2 linked regions of the Oryctolagus cuniculus genome follow. The protein of the gene in region 1 purifies or fractionates together with the protein of each later gene. This does not show direct contact. Links are inferred from orthologs where the notes say so. Each region holds a gene or a part of one and is shown on either strand. Other genes may lie near its edges.

The links.
Region 2: the proteins of DNAJB11 (region 1) and SDF2 purify together in Homo sapiens (affinity purification with mass spectrometry; 3 studies listed by BioGRID and IntAct, counting the BioPlex papers as one, with this or other methods). This does not show direct contact. The link is inferred for Oryctolagus cuniculus from reciprocal best matches to the Homo sapiens genes DNAJB11 and SDF2.

The regions. Positions count from the first base shown.
Region 1 is NC_091435.1:96,285,310-96,289,866, reverse strand, and holds the start of DNAJB11 (dnaJ homolog subfamily B member 11), read right to left. Parts: upstream 2,862-4,557; 5' UTR 2,515-2,861; coding exon 2,447-2,514; intron 1-2,446. UniProt on the Homo sapiens protein: As a co-chaperone for HSPA5 it is required for proper folding, trafficking or degradation of proteins.
Region 2 is NC_091448.1:44,160,401-44,164,733, reverse strand, and holds the start of SDF2 (stromal cell-derived factor 2), read left to right. Parts: upstream 1-1,468; 5' UTR 1,469-1,529; coding exon 1,530-1,680; intron 1,681-4,333.

The sequences.
Region 1 (4,557 bases):
AGCCAGCAGATGGAAGATCTCTCTCTCTCTCTCTGTAACTCTCTCAAACAAAATAAATCCTAAAATCATGTTGCAAATTAAAAAAAAAAAAATGCCCACAAACATCTGCTCCTTCTGCCAGTCATTTGAGCCATCAAAATTTGCTCTAAAAATATTTTCTCAGTAACAGAGACGGCAAAGTTATTCACAACAGCCATAAAGATTTAGCAGTAACAGTCATTTTATTGTTTTATTTAAAATATGTATTTGAGAGAAGGAGGGAGAAAGAGAATGAGAGAGAGCAAGTGTTTCCATTTGCTGGGTCACTGTTTGAAGGCTTGCCAACAGCTGAAGTTGGGGCAGGGCTGCGGTTAGGCGCTGGGGACTCAACCTAGTCTCCCATGTGAGTGGCAAGGACTCAATAATAATTTGAGGCAGCCTCTACTGCCTTCCAGGGTCCACACTGATGGGAGGTTAGAACTGGGATCTGGAGCCACACATTAAACTCAGGCACTGCAATGGTAGATGGGGCCTTCTTAACTGCTAAGTCAAATGCCCGCTCTCAACTAAGAATTTTAGGGGCCACCATTTTGGTGCAGCAGAGTAAGCTGCCAGGAGCAAAACTGGTATCCCATATCGGAGTGCCACATGGGAAACCTGGATGGAGTTCCAGGCTCCTGGTTTCCACCTGACCAGCCTGGGCTGCTGTGGCCACTTGAGGACTGAGCCAGCAGATGGAAAATCTTACACTGCCATTCACGTGAATAACTACATGTTTTTAAATGATAATTTAAAAATACACCAGGGAAAAACGCTCAGGATGTCAAGCTCCTGATGATGCATGACAGAATTTTTTTTTTAAATTTCAACAGTTCTTGATTACACTTTAGGAAATAAAATCATTTAATTATTTCATGTGTTAGTTTTTAAAATGATCACCCAGAGGGATTCCATGAGTCTTAATTATGGGTGTTCTTCCTCTAATCTCAGAATGTATACTTCACATCTCTTGAGATAAGAACCAAACAAACAAAAGAAATGCTAAAATTCATAGCAAAAGGGCTAACAGTATAATGAATGGGGCTTACTTAGAAGGTACTTGATATGAAAATGGTTAAATGGCAGCTCAAAAAACGCAGGAAAAAGATGGCTGGTATAGCTCAGTGCCAACATTATAGTCAGGAGGAGCCCTTACCAAGAACGACGATTTAAAGCACCAGTAGCAACGGTAGTTATAACAACATTACAGTGCTCAAGAGCTGCCTGTATGAATAACCAAAATTCAAAGCTCCACTAGTAACAATATTTATACTGATGTTTTATTAAACACCTTACTTGCTACTTTAAGTGTAAAAATTACTAACAAAAACATACTAAGGAAAAAAATCAGAAAGCACTATCTAGAAGTTAACTTCTCAGAAATTGAAGATGTTTAAAAGGAAAAACGACAACAAAGTCATTTTAAAATCTTTTAAGAGATTAAGAAGCACTTAAGGTCCTACCAGGTAGTACCTTCCCATTTAGAATAACCTCTAAATTGCTAGAAACTGAGGTCTGCTCTTCCTTGCATCCCAAAATACGACCCTGGCACACCACTTCCTGGGTTGCCAGGTTTTTAGGGTCCTGTTAAAGCCTGGGAGGACCCTCAAGAGCTCACCTGTTCCTAGTGCATGCCTAAGGGTAGCACATTATTATTCTCATGTTAGAGACCAGGACTTAGCTGGGTCCTTCGAGGTTACAGAGTTCACAAGTGCAGGCTAGAATCCCAGTTCACCACCTGTTGGAGAACTTCTCTTCCCGCTCAAAAGCCAAGCCAGCTTCTCCAGAATGTACCATGGAGAGAGACAGCGGGGCATGAGGACGGCTTAGGCTGACCGGCTCCGAAGCTGGGAACTACAAGGCTCTCCAACGGATCCGTCTGCTTCCTCGACCCCAATTCCTTCAGCCCCTGCAGCTTTCCCACTGCTCTGCTCACTCGGCCCGGCATGACGACCCTCTCACTTTAATGCCAGCCTCCCCGTGGTTCCTTGCAGGCTCCGTTTTTCGGTTCAGTAGGGCACAGCGACTCACCTCTTAAATCTCTGCCTGGCAGTCACCGCCGGGCGCCCCCTTCCCTCTCTAGCACCCGGCGACACTGCTTCCGCTCACAGCCCCCTTCTCCCCCTCAAACTCACTCCGCCCCCCAAACGCCGTCTTTGGCACTGCATCCAACTCCCACTCCTCCGGGCGAATTTAGCTTTATGGAGCCTTTGGATCTAAAGCCCCTCACGGGGATCACGCACAGCTCTCCCCCCGACCCATTAGCCTGTCCCACGCTACCAACTCACGGCCGTCCCGCGGCGATGCCCTCTCGCCACTCCCTCATCTGGCAAAGCCGCTTCTCCTACCGCCCCCTCAGTGCCCACCCTGCCGCTTCCCAGCGAAGGCTGACGCTCCAACCCCGGGCCCGCGGGTGCCAGTTCCTCACCCGGCGATCACGGCCCCGATGAAGTACAGCAGCAACAGGCAGAAGGTGCCCAGGTTCTGCGGGGCCATGGTTCCTCCACGCCGGACCCTGGCCCAAGCACTCCTCACAGCTTCCTCTGCCGCCGCGTCTGCTCACCAGCCCACGCGGCCCTGTGAGGCCGTCTTACGCCGGGGGCCCTCTCGCTCGGCCCGCAGAGACAGCTGGCTTGCCCCCCTCCCGGCCAGACCACTTCCCGGGAGTCCGAGTCCCGGCGAGAGAAGCCCCCAGCAAGCGAGAGCCAATCACTGGCCAGGACATCACACGCGGCCGGCACCTCAGGGCCAATCAGCACAGTACACTTCACCTCCGAGGCGGTGCGCGCAGCCAGTTACGCTTCAGAACTGCAGCCTCAGCTCCCGGCCAATTAGAAGAGGAGACGTCAGAGGACCGCGCCGCCGCAGGAGGCTCCCCGGTCTCCCCGGGGTCGTAGAAATCACGTAAAAGGCGGAGGGTGGGACCTAGAGAGGGCACCTGCGATACAGGACCCAATCGCCCGCCTCCTCGGACTTCCCACCAATCACGAGGCTCCTCCAGCAGCACCGGCCAATTGTGGGAGGGAGATTTTATCTCGGTTCGAACTCTTGGAATTTCATTCATAGGGAACTCCGCGCTGCAGGCCTGAGCTGAGGGACTGCGGCGGAATGGGCGGGGACGAGGACTCCAAGCCAACAGTACACAGGACTCGCTGCTTAGCAGATCTTACTGTAGGTTCTCATAACAACCCCGGAAATCGTCTCGGTTGCATAGACAAGAGGCATAGGACAGAGCAGCGGCCGTGGAGACAGACCGACTTAATTTAAGCTTGGATTCGTCTTCCATTACGCCGTAGTGGTGAGACACCCCCGCCCCAGTCTGAGCCTAAGTCTCTTAATTAACACAGCGGAGACAAAACACATACTGGCAGTGTTGGAAATTTTAACGGGAAATGTTTTTGTAAGACGTCTAGCACGCAACCAATAAAAACTTAGTACAGTCTTAGGGAGAATTCTTTGCCTTCCCCGCCTTCCTCCCAGTTTTGGTCATCACAATAAACGCACCACCTTGTTCAGGAAAAACAGAAACAGAAGCACCGGCAGGGTGCCGTCCTTGATCCCTTTCTTGCATAACTGATCCAGACTTTGAACCTGTCCGTCCGCTCCTCTGCATCTCCATGAATACGCCTCCGGGCCCACTCTGTATCTCTCACGTGGCAGGGCCTCCTAACAAGTCTCCTTGCAGCCACTCTATTTGCACCCAAATGGCTGTGGCCCAGGATGGGCCAGGCCCGAGCCAGGAACCTGGAACTCCATCAGGGTTTCCCACGAGGATGCAGGAGCTCAAACACTTGGGCTATCTTCTGCTGCTTTCCCAGGCACGCTAGCAGGAAGCTGGATTGGCCTGGCGCCCGTATGGGTTGCTGGTGTCGCAGGCCTCGGTTTAACCCACTGCACCACAACACCGGCCTCCCTCTGTTCTTAGTTTCTTAATACCTGTTTTTACCCCGTCTCACTCCATGTTTTTAAAAATCATGTCAAGTCATGTCATTAACCTGCTTAAAATTCTTGAATGGCTTTTTATTGCGCTTCAAACGAAACCCTAACTCTATTCTGGTTTACAATCCTTATATGATCTGTACCTTACCTATTATACTCTTTACTTTATCCCCACAAAACTGGCTTCCTTTTTCTTTTTGAACACACCAAGAACATTAGTACTTTTATACTGGCTCTTCCCTCTATCTGAAATACCCTTCACCGTGACCTTAACTTGGGTAACTCCGCTTAAAAATTTGGATATTAGCCACCTAAGGCTGCCCTGATCAACCAATTAAAATTAGTCCTTACTGAGTTCCTTACTCTTACATTGCTCCTTTTTTTTTTTTCCTTTTTAAAGATTTATTTACTTGAAAGTCAGAGTTAAACAAAGGGAGAAGGAGAGGCAGAGAGAGAGAGAGAGAGAGGACTTCCATCCACTGGTTCACTCCCTAGATGACCCCAACAGCTGGAGCTGTGCCAATCTGAAGCCAGGAGCTTCCTCTGGGTCTCCCACGTGGGTGCAGGGGCCCAAGCACTTGAGCCATCTTCTACTGCTTT
Region 2 (4,333 bases), on another chromosome or scaffold:
CCACGCGCTGACAGGATTAATTGTTTGATGAGTTTAAGACGTCTTAGAGTAATGCTGCCATGATAAACTAATCCAGCAAGCCAACTGAATATAAACGGACTTGTACTGGTAGAAGGGATGGAGTTTAGAAAGAAACCCTAAACTCACAACTGACAGGAGAGCAATCACGCGCTTGTAATCAAAATGCTCAGGACTTACACACTGGTAACCTTCAGACCAACAGTGGAACTAGGCTTTTTTCCCAGGAAATTAATCAAACCCAATACTGTCTACATTCTCCATGTCTGTTAACAGCACTGTAGCTTAATATTCCCTTATTGCTTCCAATATTACAGTGAATTTTCATCAAAGTATTTTTGAAGACTTTAGGCCATCTCCCAAAGAAAAATAAGCGTCAGTTCTTGCAAAAAGGGAAATGAACGGCTCCAGTCGATTCAAGCGAGCGCCTAGAAAGGCAGAAACCGGCAGCAAATAAAGTTTTGATTTAACCTTTTCTGATGTGCATGACAGACGTTCGGCAATGTTTGAAAAAAAAATCTACGGAAAATGAACCGCACCTCAACAAGACCTTTGATCTTTAGTAAGGGCTGAAGGATGTGACCATCTACCAAAAGTTCTAATTGTGTTACTCAACAATATGGAAAGAGCTGGAATTGGGCATAGCCCTCTAGCCTAATGGCCGAGCTGCCGAAAGCGCCACACGATTCGCATCCTCAGACCTGATCAGGCTGAGAAGCCCGGGTCCCTTCCTCCCAACCCTTTGGCGTGGCCCAGTTTTCGGAAGCTGCTGGGAGAAGGACCGGATCCCAGCAAAGCCTGTTGATTCACCAGACCAGCTGGTTCACGGGTTCTGGGTGCCACCGGGCTGGGAAAGGCCTTGAGACTCCCCAACTCCCCTGCTTTCCTGCCCCCTCCCCCTCAGAGAGCAGGGAAGGCCGGGGCCCCCTTCTTCCCGCAGACGGCTCCCCAGTGCCTCCTCTCTTAAGGGACCAGGCCCTAGCAGCCTGGTTCCCTCCTGACCTAGAGCGAGAAACACGCGCTCCACGCCGAACTTTACCTGTCCGACGGCCGCCGCTTCTCCGGTGCGCTAAGCCCCCGCTGAGGAAAATGGAGTCGGCGAACCGAGACTGGGAAAGGATAGTCCGGACCCACCGCACGGCCCCTCCGCCTCCGCCGCCGCCGCCGCCGCCGCCGCTGCGTCAACGTGCTGCGTCACTTCCGGCTCCCTGTCACCGGGAGTGGGCGGGCTGTGTCTCGCTCTCTACTCCCACCGTTCCCGGGAGTTTCGTCCCCGGGGCGCGAGGGCTGTCGGAATCGGTTCAGGAAGGTAGCTATCACACAGCCGCCGAGACAGAGCGAGAGTTGGAAGTAACCACGCCCAGAGCGTTCCGCAGGCCGCTCTAGCCAAAGGCACCATAAAGACCAGCCTAGGGCTTCTTCACTTCCTTCTCTCTGTGGTTCCTCCCCCAGCTTCCGGTTCCGGGGAGGTACCGGGGTTTCCTCAATAGGGGCTGCGCGGTCCGGCGAGGATGGCTGTCGCGTCGCTGCTGGTGTTCGGGGGTTTGTGGAGCGCTGTGGGAGCCTCCAATCTGGCTGTGGTTACTTGCGGTTCTGTGGTGAAGCTACTCAACACGCGTCACAACGTGCGGCTGCACTCCCACGACGTGCGCTACGGATCAGGTACTGCGGGCGACCCGGTTCGGGTGGGCCGGGGGCGGGGCCTGCGAAGGTTGGGGGCGCTCTGGGGAGGTTCCTGAGGGCTGGAGCAGGGCAGCTGAGGTTCTCCCTAGCGAACTAGGCAGTGCGCCCATCTTTAACGTTTTTGTGAAGTAGGTACTCTTAGTATCCTCATATTTTATAAACGAGAAAACAAATGAAGTGGCTTGCTGACAGCCTTGCAACTGGTGACTGGGAGACGGGGTTCTGTCTAATCTGTTTAGTCTTTAAGCTGCTGCGGGAGAGAAAGGCGTGTAGAAAATCTCAGTAAGTGGTGCCTCTCTGAATTCTTAAGCTCAGAGTCCACACCCCTCTGTATACCAGCTCTTTTACATCTTGTTCTTCACTTCGTATCTTTTGTCACCTCTTAAATCAAACCTTAACCTAGATCTGGCAAAGAACTTAAACTACAGCAGTCACAGGTATTGCAGAGGAGACTTCTTTTTTACCTTTTTGAAATTAAAATACTTGGGGTTCAATCATTCAGCGTAGATTTTTCTTTTTTAAGGTTTATTTATTTATTTGAAAGGCAGAGATGCAGAGAGAGAGGGAGAGAGATTTCCATCTGCTAGTTAACTCCCCAAATACCTTCAACAAGCTAGGGCCCAACAGCCTCATCAAGGCCTCCTGCTGGGTCATCACTCCCCCTCCTTGCCCAGGTGTTTCTGGATTGTATGGAGGTGGTGGCCTAACCTGCTAGGCTACAATGTGGGCCCCTCAGCATAGATTTAATGAGTTGCTGCTGTGTGCCTGGTGTTTTTCTAGATACGGGAGATGCAGTAGTGAATCCGTCAAGCAAGTTACAAGACAATAAACACAGACAAGAAAAGAGAGAAGGAAGCAAGATGAAGGCGGGATCTAAGAAAAAACTGGGATAACTGATGAGGTCTCTCAGATGGGCCAGGTGGTGCCTGAGTCCCAAAACCTGTTGGACCAGTTACACTGGGAAAGGAACTAAGTTATCATTGGGATGTTTTAATTCTAGTGACCATTAACATACTTGTGTCAAGCTGCTTTCTTTTTCATTCGACCTTGTTTCCTACTTTGGATCTACTGAATTAGAATAGAACTGGAAGGAGGCTTAGCACTGAGACTCTGTAGGTCTCAAAAACTAAAGTGGTTCTGATGGGCAGCCAGATTTGGGAACCAGGTTCAGTCTGGAACTCAGAATAGCTGTGCTGAGCCTGAGAAAGTTAAGTGCAAGACAATTAGAGATGGAATTGTTCAGAATGAACTGTGATTCTTGATCTAGGGTCAGTTGGAATCACTTGAGAAACTTGTGGGGGCCAGTATTGTGGTGTAATGGGTTAAGCTGCTGCCTGCAACACTGGCCTCCCATATGGGCGCTGGTGTGAGCCCTGGCTGCTCCACTTCTGACAGTTTTCCTGCTAATGTGCCTGGAAAGCAGTGGGCCCTTGGGCCCCTGTAACCACATGGGGAACCCAGATGGAGCTCCTGGATATAGCCCCAGCCAGCAAATGGACGATCTATCTCTCTCCTCTCTGTAACTCTGCCTTTCAAATAAATCTTTAAAAAAAAAAAAAAAAAAATGCAGGGCCAGCTTTGTGGCACGGTGGGTTAAGCCGCTGTCTGCAGGTCCTGTATCCCATAAGAACACCAGTTTTAGTCCCTGCTGCTCCACTTCCAATGTAGTTCCCTGCTAATGCACCTGGGAAGGCAGCAGAAGATGGTCCAAGAGCTTGGGTCCCTGCCACCTTCATAGTAGACCTGCATGGAGTTCCAGGCTCCTGGCTCCAGCAGCCATTTGGGGAGTGAACCAGCAGATGGAAGATCGCTCTCTTTCCCCCTCTCCCTATAACTCTGCCTTTCAAATAAATAAATACATCTTTTTGAAAAACCTACATACACAAATACTTTTGTTGTGACTCCTAATAAATATCTAAGAAGTACTCATAGAAGTAAGTAGATGAGGACCAGGTATGGAACCCTACCTCAATAGATGGCATTAAAACAAGGATGAGCATTTTGTTCAGTGGATTAAGCTGCTGGTTGGGATGCTTGCATCTCATGTTAGAGTGCCTGGTTCAAGTTCTGGATGTCTCGTTTCTGATCCAGCTTCCTGCTAATAAGCCTGGGAGGCAGCAGATGATAGCTTGAATACTTGGGTTACTGCCACTCATGTGGGAAGCCCAGATAGAATTCTTGACTCCAGGCTTTGCCCTGGCTTAGCCTTGGCTGTTGAGTATTCTGCCTTTCAAACAAAGAAATGAGTAAATTTTTTAAAGAATATTCAAATGAAGAGCTTGAATCAATGTGTGATACCTGGCTCAATGCAAATTAGCTAACAATTATTAATTGATAGCTTGTATTTTTGCATGGATTTTAATTTTTTTGCATAAAAATAATCTTTTAATTTTGCTTTCCATGAAGTCTTTTATTTTTTTAAGATATATTTATTTATTTGAAATTCAGAGTTACACAGATAGGAGAGGCAGAGAGAGAGATAAAAGGTCTTCCATCTGCTGGTTCACTTCCCAATTGGCCGCAACAGCCGGAGCTGCGCCCATCTGAAGCCAGGAGCCAGGAGCTTCTTCCAGGTCTCCCATGTGGGTGCAGGGGCCCAAGGACCTGGGCCATCTTCTGCTTTCCCAGACCA